3 linked regions of the Bombyx mori genome follow. The protein of the gene in region 3 purifies or fractionates together with the protein of the main gene of each other region. This does not show direct contact. Links are inferred from orthologs where the notes say so. Each region holds a gene or a part of one and is shown on either strand. Other genes may lie near its edges.

Region 1 (4,302 bases), on a different chromosome or scaffold from region 3:
CATTGTTAACACACAAAATCGGACTTGAAAGAGGATAGACAGATTAGGCTGCTTATACCTTCCAACCGCCATCTTCCTGCCTACCAGCCTACCTGTAATAATGGCACTTACAACTCTGAATATCTGGAACTTTTACAGCTATTGCTAAGATTAGAGGTTGAGTTCAGGACCCACATGGTGCTAAGTGCTTACCAAAGCCCTTAGACATCAGCAACATATATGCAACATGCCACCACCCACCATGAGATATGAGTTCCGAATCTTAGTTTTACAGCCTAAAGGATGTCCCATCATAAAAACCAAATCACATTACTGCTTCACAGCAGAAATTTGCAGGGCGGTGGTATATATCTGAGCAGGCTGACAAGATGACCCTCCATCAGTAATTACCAGTGTTTGGTTTCTATGACACAATGTTATTCCTTCACTATAGTCATTTATGAACATTTGTCAAGTACGTTTAATATTTCATTAGAAAAATTGGTACCATGGTCTGTGGAATTTAAACACTGGCACAGTACTCAATACGAATGCACCGGGAGTTTTATATATTTTTATACATAGTACCACATATTCTGTATTAGGGCAGTGTGTAACGTACAGTTAGTAGCGCCGGTCATTCTCGGTGTGCTATAAATCGCGCAATAAATCATTAACTACCAATTGACTTTAATTTCTACACACTCCTTAATAGGTGACTGCAACCCAATATACACATCACCTAGAATACTTTAGGCCTTTCAATAGAGGGTGTTTATAAATAATAATAATAAATATTTACTAACAATCACGCCGCGTTAACTAGTCCCATGCTAAGTTCGTAAAAATCTTGTGTTACAGGTACCAGATAACGGAAATATATGTAAGATATTTATCATAGACATACATATATTTAATATACTTCCATAACACTGGAAAAGACGTTTTATATTTATCTTACAAATATCTTCCCTTGGCGGGATTTGAACCTGCGACCCCCGTGTGTAGTGACCATGTCACTCACCACTACACCAGACAGCCGTTAATAAATGGGTGATTATTGTATTTAAGACCAGACAGATAATTGCTGTTCATCAATATGGTTTTATAAAAACATACTTACTGTGAAACTAACAGAAGATCCACTTCGTCTGCCTCTATAAGGTCTATGAAGGGTAGGGCGTCCATTCCAGACAAACCAGGATGGATGCCACAGTCCAACTAAAAAAATATGAATATTTTTGTCCATAATATTGTAAATTTTAAAATATATACTTCTTTTGAATTATATAACTTAGCCACAATGAATGTCTATACTATGTGAATATTACAATATTGCTATAAATACTGTAAAGGGCACATCACTACACACACACATAATTGATATATTACACCACTGCCTCATCTTGTCAAACCTGAGAAAGTGAATGTGTACAGTTCTGGGGCCATACTTTAATACTGCAAAACATGAAATAGGAACATGAAACATAAACTAACCATTATCTTTTTCCCTTTGAACTCCAACATGATGCATGATCTGCCAACTTCTTGGCCAGCTCCACTGAAAATATATTTTCTAAGCTTCAATTTTTTTAAGCAAACATGTTATAGTATTACTGTATTGTTTTATTAATATTAGCATCTAAGCCAGTTCATAACATTGAATTTTTATTACTTTTTTTGTTAATTTTGAGTGTAATATTAAGTAATAATAAAGAAGGTGTTTAAGGAAGCTTAAAGTCTGTATTGTTTTGAAACTTGTTCACATTAATTATTTTACTTACAGTGGTCTTATTGTCAATTGATCGCTTTCCTCCGCAGGCACTGGATCAGTGCCTTTTCTTGGATTTGTAGTCATTTTGTTTATTTACAAATATTCATTTACAGGGATTTAACCAATAGCTTAATCACAATAAGATAAAACTTTGTGGTGTTATATTATAAGTGACGATTAATCAAATAACGTATAATAACTACCATTAAGATTTACTTTATAAGTTAGAATCAGTTCCTGTAATCCAGTCAGTTACAATTTAGAAACATGTTAGGTTATGGTACGGTACCGATTTTTTTTCTTCTCCAGTAGTAGAGTAGTAGTAGTTTTATTTTTCTAGCTGGATAGGCAAAGGTATAAATCATATCATACAACCTACGAATAACTGATAAGTTATTATTTATTCGTAGCATACAACTTAATCTTTTATAATTTTTTAATCAAAATGATATGAAGTGAAATGAAATGAAGTTGATTAATTTGGAACATTAATCAATTGTCACGAAATAAAATGAAATGAAATGAGATAAGATGATATGGGATAAAATATAATCTCAGTAATATGGTGGTTATATTTACTGAGACTTTTTGACCCACAGACATAGGCGACTGAGTTTCTCGCCGGATCTTCTCAGTGGGTCGCGTTTCCGATCCGGTGGTAGATTCTGCGAAGCACGGCTCTTGCTAGGGTTGGTGTTAGCAACGTCGTTAGGTTTGAGCCCCGTGAGTTCACCTACTAGTTAAGGTTACGCTGGAATAGCCTCTCAAGGCTACCAGCTTAGGTAGGAAAAAAAAATTAGACTTTTTGAAGGATCCCGAGAAGCTACGACCAGCGGCTTTGTTTCATTTTCCCACATTTGTGCACTTTCACAACAGTTAAACAGATATTAAACAGTTAATAAACCACCGTTGTTACAAATTTAAACCTGAAGAAACACTAAATAGACAAAACTAAACAATTCATACAACTTCACTCTTCGCATTCCCGCCAAAAAAGTATTTTTCTTCTCCAATAAAACAAAGCCCCCCTCACAGATTATTAAAATAATTAAATACGAGTAGGGTGTAGGTATAACGACGAAAGGAAGATGTTCCCCCGAGCGGGTGATATTGCTCGGTAGACCGATAATCCGAATGTTGTTGTTTGGAACTTGTTTATATGCAAGCTTATCTTGAAAAGGTCGTAAGCGAGATTCAGGCATTTGACAAATATCTTGTGTTATCTGATAGCTACCGCCACAAGATATGTAATAATTACTAGCTAACCCCGCAAGCATTGTTTTGCCTTAAAAAAAGTTTCTAAGAAAGATAAATTAACCTAGATATCGACTGCAGCGCCATCTGCCGGGCTGATTTGTGAATCTAAACCATCCAGGACACCACCCAAACACATACAAAAAAAATCATTCAAATTGGTCCAGCCGTTTAGGAGGAATTCAGTGACAAACACACGCACAGAAGAAATATATATAAAGACTAACTGACCCGGCAGACTTCGTAGTGCCTCAATCGACAAATAAAAGACCTAAACTTTTGTATAAAATAAACTTAAAACAAAAAAAATCAATGCGTCCGACGGAGGACACATCAAAGGGAAAACTAAATTGTTATTTTTATTTGATTCCGAGCATTTTCATATTTATCTACCTTCCTTTTAAATCTTCTCTGGACTTCCACAAATAAAGACCAAAATTAGACAAATCAGTTCAGGCGTTCTGAAGTTTTAGTGAGACTAACGAACAGCAGTTCAATTGTATATATATATATATATAGATAAAGATAATAAACAAAAGATTACGCTTATGGTATGATACCTTTGCTTTTCCAGTTGGAAAACTAATACTGTCAAACTGTCAACATAATAAATATTGACAAAATACACGTGTGCTAATGAAATTTATAAATTTACAGCTAATGAAATAAATAAGGGTTGCATTCATTGAAATAATTGTAATGCCGAAGCAGAAGTTGTTTGATGAAGATTCAGCGGATGAGGTCACATTTAAAACTGAAAATGAATACGCAAAGAAGTACGATTCGTGGCGTGAGAAGGAAGAATTACATAAATGTGAGGAGTCTAATTTAAGTTCTCTGAGTTGTTTCAGAAAACCAGAAGTGTAAATTATTACATTACATATTATAAAATATTGCTATTTACTGATTAAAATGAGGTTAATTCAAAATTATTGAAAATCTTGACTCCATTTGACTTGTGAGCAGGCAAACTGCTGTCAGATAAATAAACATCAGTGAACACTAGATGAGCTGCCTCTGCTAAGTTTGACATGACAAGACGCCGTCGAATCCAATAATAGCGTTGTATATTCATCATGTCAAAGCCCCAGTGTTATTCTAATTTTTAATTAGCTGAGTTTCATTGATATGTTTGACTCTCGAAATGAATTTTTCTATTTATTTTAAATTAAATTTACTGCAATTTCTGCAGTGTTAAATGAAATGAAAATCATAAACTACTTCGGTTATTCTAGTTTTTATATTTCCAATGGTGTTCAGTATCATGTGGAAGGGAAACCCGATTTGGCTCCTAA
Region 2 (3,547 bases), on a different chromosome or scaffold from region 3:
TTCGCAGTTATTGTCGTACCGCGCGCAACATGGCGGGACTCGCCTATCAATAATAAAATTTTGCGGGTCGCTAGTATATTATATATTCCAAAAACATAAATATATATAAATTTTTTTTTGTAATAATTGTAAATTTTTTCACATTCAAAATTTTACCGCCCTGGGCACTTGCCCCGACCGCCCCTAGTGTAAATCCAGCGCGGACTGTTTCTTGACCGTAAGGCCACGGACTCTTCACTGTCCGCCCTAGAAACAATTGACTATTTTTGTTACAGAAAACATTGTGAGTCTGAAGGAATCGAAAAGGTGTTCTTACCGTCCGTTGGGGAAACCGTCGACGCCACGACAGAGTCACACATCTATCAGGTACCAACAGAACTGCCCGTTAACAACATTATTTTCTGAATATACTCGAATATAATAAATAATAGTTTAAAAATGTGTGCGTGTACTAGTGTACACACGTAAGAAGTGAAACTTGTTTATGGCCTTATTTTTCGAAAAATGATCTACATGCAACTTTCTAGAAATTGGTTAAATAAAGTTAAATTAGATAAAGTTTAAACAAAAGGATTTTATTATCATAGACATGAATACAAAAAAGTTAAATTAGATAAAGTTTAAACAAAAGGATTTTATTATCATAGACATGAATACAAAACAGATGGCGCGTAACGGAAAAAAGTGACGCGTAACCGAAAAATGTGACGGTAAATTTTTTTCCAACGCCGATAAGGAAGTTTCACTTCAAAAAAACTAAAATATTATGCTTTTATAGAAAATCCAACTAAAAAATAAAAAAATAAATTTTAATAAATTCGAATTAAAAATAGTGTGAAGGAAAAATGATTTTATTGTAAAAAAAATGTGTGCGTGTACTAGTGTACACACGTAAGAAGTGAAACTTGTTTATGGCCTTATTTTTCGAAAAATGATCTACATGCAACTTTCTAGAAATTGGTTAAATAAAGTTAAATTAGATAAAGTTTAAACAAAAGGATTTTATTATCATAGACATGAATACAAAAAAGTTAAATTAGATAAAGTTTAAACAAAAGGATTTTATTATCATAGACATGAATACAAAACAGATGGCGCGTAACGGAAAAAAGTGACGCGTAACCGAAAAATGTGACGGTAAATTTTTTTCCAACGCCGATAAGGAAGTTTCACTTCAAAAAGCGTGGGGAGCTTTTCAAAATATTATTAAAATAACCCTTCTACTCATATCTGTTCATTAAATATTTATAACTACTGATACCAAGCACATCACTCTTTTTTTTTACAAAAAAACATGTGTGGTGTCGTGGGACACCGGATAGGAACGAAGTTCCATATAAAAAAAAAAAAAAGAATTACGAGAAAAAAATCGCGCGGTGAAATATCTCTGTGCGGAAAACAAGGCCTTATTCCACGGACTTTTTCTTACGGTTTTTACTATCACATTATTTTCAGTTCGGTCGCGCAGCAAAATCCCTATCTCCCCCAAGCCTGCCGTAAGGAACTTCGTTCCAAAAATCATTTCTTCTTACACTATTTTTAATTCGAATTTATTAAAATTTATTGAAGTGAAACTTCTTTATCGGCGTTGGAAAAAAATTTACCGTCACATTTTTCGGTTACGCGTCACATTTTTCCGTTACGCGCCATCTTTTTTGTATTCATGTCTATGATAATAAAATCCTTTTGTTTAAACTTTATCTAATTTAACTTTATTTAACCAATTTCTAGAAAGTTGCATGTAGATCATTTTTGTATTCATGTCTATGATAATAAAATCCTTTTGTTTAAACTTTATCTAATTTAACTTTATTTAACCAATTTCTAGAAAGTTGCATGTAGATCATTTTTCGAAAAATAAGGCCATAAAGAAGTTTCACTTCTTACGTGTGTACACTAGTACACGCACACATTTTTTTTTTTTCTATTTTTAGTTGCATTTTCTATATAAGCGTATTTTGTTAGTTTTTTTAAACTATTATTTATTTTTCATTTTTTAGTTGAATTTCAATGTTTTCAATTTTTTTTTTAATATTGCATTGTCATCTATCCTAAGTATACCAAATTTCGCAAATTAATCCGATGTTTTGAAGGGGGTCAATATCTCATTCAAAGATTCCGTTACATACTAACATACATACGTCTTGAAACTAATAAAAGCGTATTAAAAACGTTAGTTATATTGTCTAGTTGTTGGCGACTTCTTTGATCGAGGCACGGGGTGTGGGGAATTCTCGGTGCGAATGGTTATTAAAGATGTGAATGTGTATGATCGAAGGTGAAACTGACGGACGGGCTGATGCGGGGCCTGGTGTGGCGGCAGGCCGGGGACGCCGAGCTGGCCTGGCTGTCCGCCGTCGTGGCGCCGCGCACGCACGCCCGGGAGAGCGACGCCGCCCCCGGTAACTGACACTGTCATTAGCACTAGTCTAGATGTCTTATGTTCTGTAATAGCTGCTACCTCTGTCATGCAACAACTTTGTAAGTGCGTACGCACCGAGCACGATCCGACACGTATAGTGAAAGTTAACTACTTGAAGTTTTTTATGACCTGGTAACTAAGACCTTTAGGTCAAGTCTTATGTTAATTTTAATGAAAACTTTTTATACGATAATTTAAATTTATTTTCTATTTTTTTGTTGAATTTTATATAAAGCGTGTTTTTTAGTTTTTTTTTAAACTATTATTTATTTAAAATTTACTCGGTTGCTACTGTAGCGCCACTCGTTATAAGCAGATTTTAACGGATAATTTTTACACACAGAGACGGTTCTCCTTACCTCTCAGAGGGTTCTCCATACTTAGTATAAAGTGTTGTTGTTGTCGCAGAGGAGGGCGGCGGTGCGGTGTCGCTGGAGGCGGGTGCGGGGCGGCCGCGCGCGGCTGCGTTCGTGAACACGGTGCGGCTGCACGAGCTGCGCGCCGCCCTCGCCCGCGCCGGCCTGCAGCCCGACCTCGGCGCCGGCACGCTCACCTGCTGCTCCGGGACGCTCGCCGTGCGCAGGGTACCCGCACACCCACACTACATACACGCAATACATACGCGCACAAGCATCATCAATCAACCCGCTGACGATTAGATGGCTGGACGAGCTCACAGCCCACCTGGTGTTAAGTGGTTACTGGAGTCCATAGATAAATAATAATAAAGAAAGAAAAAAAACCTTATCAAATAAAAAAATACAAAATTAAATATAAACTTGTGTCATTGGAACCCCATTCGGGTATAGGCCTCCTATAGATATCTACAACGTAAATGCGCCACTCGCCTTGAGATATATAAGTTAAGGTCTCAGTATATCTACCCGTGCGGACTCTCAAAGGTCCTACCATCAATAATAAAGCCAATTATAATTTTTGCGAGCTTAATTTTTGTTACACAATGTTATTCCTTCACCGTTAAAGACATTCGTGAACATAATAATATATTAAGTACGTATTTCATCAGCAAAATTGGTACCTGCCTGCCAGGATTCGAACACCGGCACGGTCGCATCGCTCAATACAAGTGCACCCCGCGTCTTATCCTTTAGGCCATGAAGACTT
Region 3 (3,658 bases):
AAGGATAAGACGTCGAGTGCATTCGTAATTAACGATGCACCGGTGTTCGAATCCCGCAGGCGGGTACCATTTTTTTTAATGAAATATGTACTTGAGAAATGTTCACGATTGACTTCTAGGGTGAATGAATAATAACATATGGTAACAAAAATAAAACCAGCAAAATTAATTGCGTAATTACTGGTGGTAGGACCTCTTGTGAGTCCGCACGGTTAGATACCACCACCCTGTCTGTTTCTGCCGTGAAGCAGTAATGCGTGTCGGTTTGAAGGCTGGAGCAGCCGTTGTAACTATACTGAGACCTTAGAAGTCATACGTCAAGGTGGGTGGCGGCATTTACGTCGTAGATGTCTATGGGCTCCAGTAACCACTTAACATCAGGTGGGACGTGAGCACGTCCACCAATCAACGAAATAACAAAAAAAGAAGACAGATGTCTGAATTGCTATTAGCGATAAGACCGCCTATTGTACAAACGTATCTGCTTGTTGACTGTCTAATGTTAATAGTGTTTTGGTGAGCAATAAAGTATGCTCTCTCTTTCTCTCTCTCTCTCAGACCCGCGTCGGTGGCGCCACCTACCGGGCGACTGCTCGTCGTACGTGCCGTTGATTCCCAACAGCTTGTTGAACACCTCCTTCACGACGGCAGGGTTGAGCTTGATTAGTTTCGGTAGGGCTGCCACGATCTGAAATAATTCATTTACATATTACCGTTTCGATTAAACCTTGGCATTTAAGGAATCAATTTTTAACATGTAATTGCAATTATTATAGGGGACCGTTTTTAATTTTGACGTATTCTAAGAATTTTACCTCATACCTCATTGGTTGTCGAACATCAGTTCCTATACCAATCTAGATTATTTTTATTATTATTGCGTATCCGGATGAATTAACGGCCCATTTGGTGTTAAGTGGCCTGTAGGCATGGCGTGAATGCCGTGGCGATATCGAAGACTCAATTGAGGATTTCTATTAAAATATGTTGTTATATTATGTATTTATACAATATAATTGCATTTATATAAGGACATTGAGGTGTCAAGCTGTTCCAATAAATATCTACATATGAGTCGACTATTATCAAAGCCGGCAATGTGACTTTTGGACAATTATTGGTAAATCAGAAAAACGAATTATTGACTTTGTATTCCATTGGCAGTCACAAAACTCTTCTGATCGACATCTTAGATAAATAACAGGTTAAGTATTAACCTTTATTTAACGCAGGTTTTGAACCGTATTCTTTGAAGGAGACGATTATATTCAAATCAATCTGTATGGACATATCAATAAGATTTTTTTGTCCAAATGCACAGATTGCCACCTTTGATAATAGACGACTCATATAGTACATACATTTACAAAGATTACGATTTGTAATGTTAAATTTGAAATTAAAACACAGATATCCAATGTGCGTCTCATTTTGTGCGACTCAGCGATTGTCCGGCCGCTGAAAGAATTATTCTTCTTGACATTGAGTTAACGATTCAAAAATAAATACTAATATGTTATTGTTATTATTGTTACGCCGGTAAGAGTAAGGCCATCTATCGCCGAATAGTCGAACGAATATCGAAGGATCTAGTAGCGCTTAGAACGCTCGAGAAGTACAACGCCATCTATCGACAGACATCGGAAACTACTATTAGAGATGTGTGGAATATTCTCGAAATTCTAGGGATGTGGTATCATCTATCGGCTATAAAAGCGTTGCAGAGATGGCACACAGGCAGTTAATAATCGGAACTACTCGAAGCGAAACAGCGAACGGATCACCTGAAGCGAAGCGGAACAAGCGAACTGAGAGTTTTAAAGTGTTTGTTGAATGTTTTAAGTGCTTTAAGTGTTGAATACAGTTTTTAGTTGTACTTTGGTGGAATTTTATTTATCCCGAACCCTAGCGCGTAATATTATATCATCTCTATATAAATTTTACGTTAACTTTGCGTTAAATTTAAATGCTGAAGCGTATTGTTTTTTCCGGAGTGGTTTTAAATGAATGGTCACGATTTACCTCTCTCTTTGACAGTCCGGTGAGCACGGGGATCAAGAATCTAACGTCGGACACTCTGGTGGCGTATATGTCTCGTACTTTCGACACTAGTTCGGCTGTTGGAGGCACTGGAAACATAAAAAATAAATATTAAACAAATAAAATAAACTGATTTTTTTTTATTAAATTGGCTATCAAAGTTTGGTGACGCTCGTTTGTGTTTCACCAAACGTATGTAATAAATGTAACAAATGCTAACACTTTTCGCGCTGGTCATCTGTCGGATTTTGAGGGCATAGTGACAAATACCTTTCCCAAAACAACCCACTGATAAAATTTCCATCACGAAACAAGGTCTAGTAATTAAAACTTTTTTATACATCAAGCTAAACACTACATGTGATCGCTGTATATGGTCAATGTCATATAATAGTAAATTTTCCTTCATACCTATTAGCTGGTAGTCTAAGTGGCTATTCTAGTTTCGCGCGGACGGGTAGGTGAGTTCACGTGTTCAACCTGAGAGAATTTGCTAACAATAACCCTAGCAAGAGCAGTGGTTGAATCTACCACCGAATCGAAATCGCGACCCACTGAGAAGATCCGGCGAGAAACTCAGTGGGCTGTGTGTATATGTCGCAGGCAATTTGTATGATTCCGCCGTTTACAAACGGCGTCGTCATTATAAAAACGCTCGCCGTTATGTAAAATGCCGAAGGCAAAATGTATATTGCCGTGTCACTTTATAATATGCCACAACATAACATCGACAATTCAAACACCGTTTTCATAATGCCGCGGCAAATTGAAGTATTTAGTTCATTTTTTTACCACGCGCGCCACTGTTGATCAAAACAATAACAATGGCGTCATTTTGTGTCTCAAAAAATAACTGAAAACTGCAAATATTTCGTGTGGAGAAGACATTTTAGAAAATAATTCTGATTTTAAAGCTTTATATTATAGTGAATTAAAAAAATTATACAATTCTCAAACGGAAGCTGTAAAAAAGCTTTGGACAAATAGTAAAATTTTTGAGGTTATCCGGCACCTAAAAAATGCTAAGGTGGCCACAGAATCTGGTTCCCGGAGGACTCCTACAGGTCAAAAAAATACGAGGTTATGAGCATCAGTGAATTGGACTACCTTATTTAAAAAGGAATAGCCTTGGCAGTCCAACCGTTCGTGTAATACCGTTAGAAGATTATTACGATGTATTGTTAGAGATTCATAGAAGTTACGGACACGGTGGTCGAGACAAAATTCAGTATCAAATGAAGGGTAGATTTACTATTGAGAGAAAAGCGATCGATTTATTCGTATCGTTATGTCAATTTATCTGCTTTGTAACTTAAATATTATAATGCCTTGGTGTTTTTTAGTCATGAAATGGGACATGCGCAAATAAGTAATATACATTTTTATTGTTACTTTTTATTTAAAAATAAATCAAGAAACGTTTATTTTTTAAATAATCTTCAGTTACTAATTTAGGGAAATATCTTCTAAGAATGATGAATACTTCAGACTACAAAATATGATTTTACATAAATGACCTGTTTGTTTTTATTTGAAAGTGTCATATTATCCTTAGAAGTTTTATTATTGTCATTTAAATTTTGTTTTGTTATTTAAATATTTTAACTAGGCAAATACT

The links.
Region 1: the proteins of symplekin (region 3) and cleavage and polyadenylation specificity factor 73 purify together in Drosophila melanogaster (affinity purification with western blotting; 3 studies listed by BioGRID). This does not show direct contact. The link is inferred for Bombyx mori from reciprocal best matches to the Drosophila melanogaster genes Sym and Cpsf73.
Region 2: the proteins of symplekin (region 3) and probable cleavage and polyadenylation specificity factor subunit 2 purify together in Drosophila melanogaster (affinity purification with western blotting; 3 studies listed by BioGRID). This does not show direct contact. The link is inferred for Bombyx mori from reciprocal best matches to the Drosophila melanogaster genes Sym and Cpsf100.

Annotation. Positions count from the first base shown.
Region 1 is NC_085125.1:191,124-195,425, reverse strand, and holds the start of cleavage and polyadenylation specificity factor 73, read right to left. Parts: upstream 2,918-4,302; 5' UTR 1,838-2,917; coding exon 1,764-1,837; intron 1,541-1,763; coding exon 1,477-1,540; intron 1,201-1,476; coding exon 1,103-1,200; intron 1-1,102. Other genes in the region: protein KRI1 homolog, read left to right, coding at 3,707-3,821. UniProt on the Drosophila melanogaster protein: Component of the cleavage and polyadenylation specificity factor (CPSF) complex that plays a key role in pre-mRNA 3'-end formation, recognizing the AAUAAA signal sequence and interacting with poly(A) polymerase and other factors to bring about cleavage and poly(A) addition.
Region 2 is NC_085131.1:11,896,425-11,899,971, reverse strand, and holds part of probable cleavage and polyadenylation specificity factor subunit 2, read left to right. Parts: intron 1-275; coding exon 276-366; intron 367-2,278; coding exon 2,279-2,402; intron 2,403-2,830; coding exon 2,831-3,006; intron 3,007-3,547. UniProt on the Drosophila melanogaster protein: Component of the cleavage and polyadenylation specificity factor (CPSF) complex that plays a key role in pre-mRNA 3'-end formation, recognizing the AAUAAA signal sequence and interacting with poly(A) polymerase and other factors to bring about cleavage and poly(A) addition.
Region 3 is NC_085124.1:2,849,324-2,852,981, forward strand, and holds part of symplekin, read right to left. Parts: intron 2,130-3,658; coding exon 2,023-2,129; intron 689-2,022; coding exon 583-688; intron 1-582. UniProt on the Drosophila melanogaster protein: Component of a protein complex required for cotranscriptional processing of 3'-ends of polyadenylated and histone pre-mRNA. Involved in germline stem cell transit amplification, differentiation and mitosis-to-meiosis transition.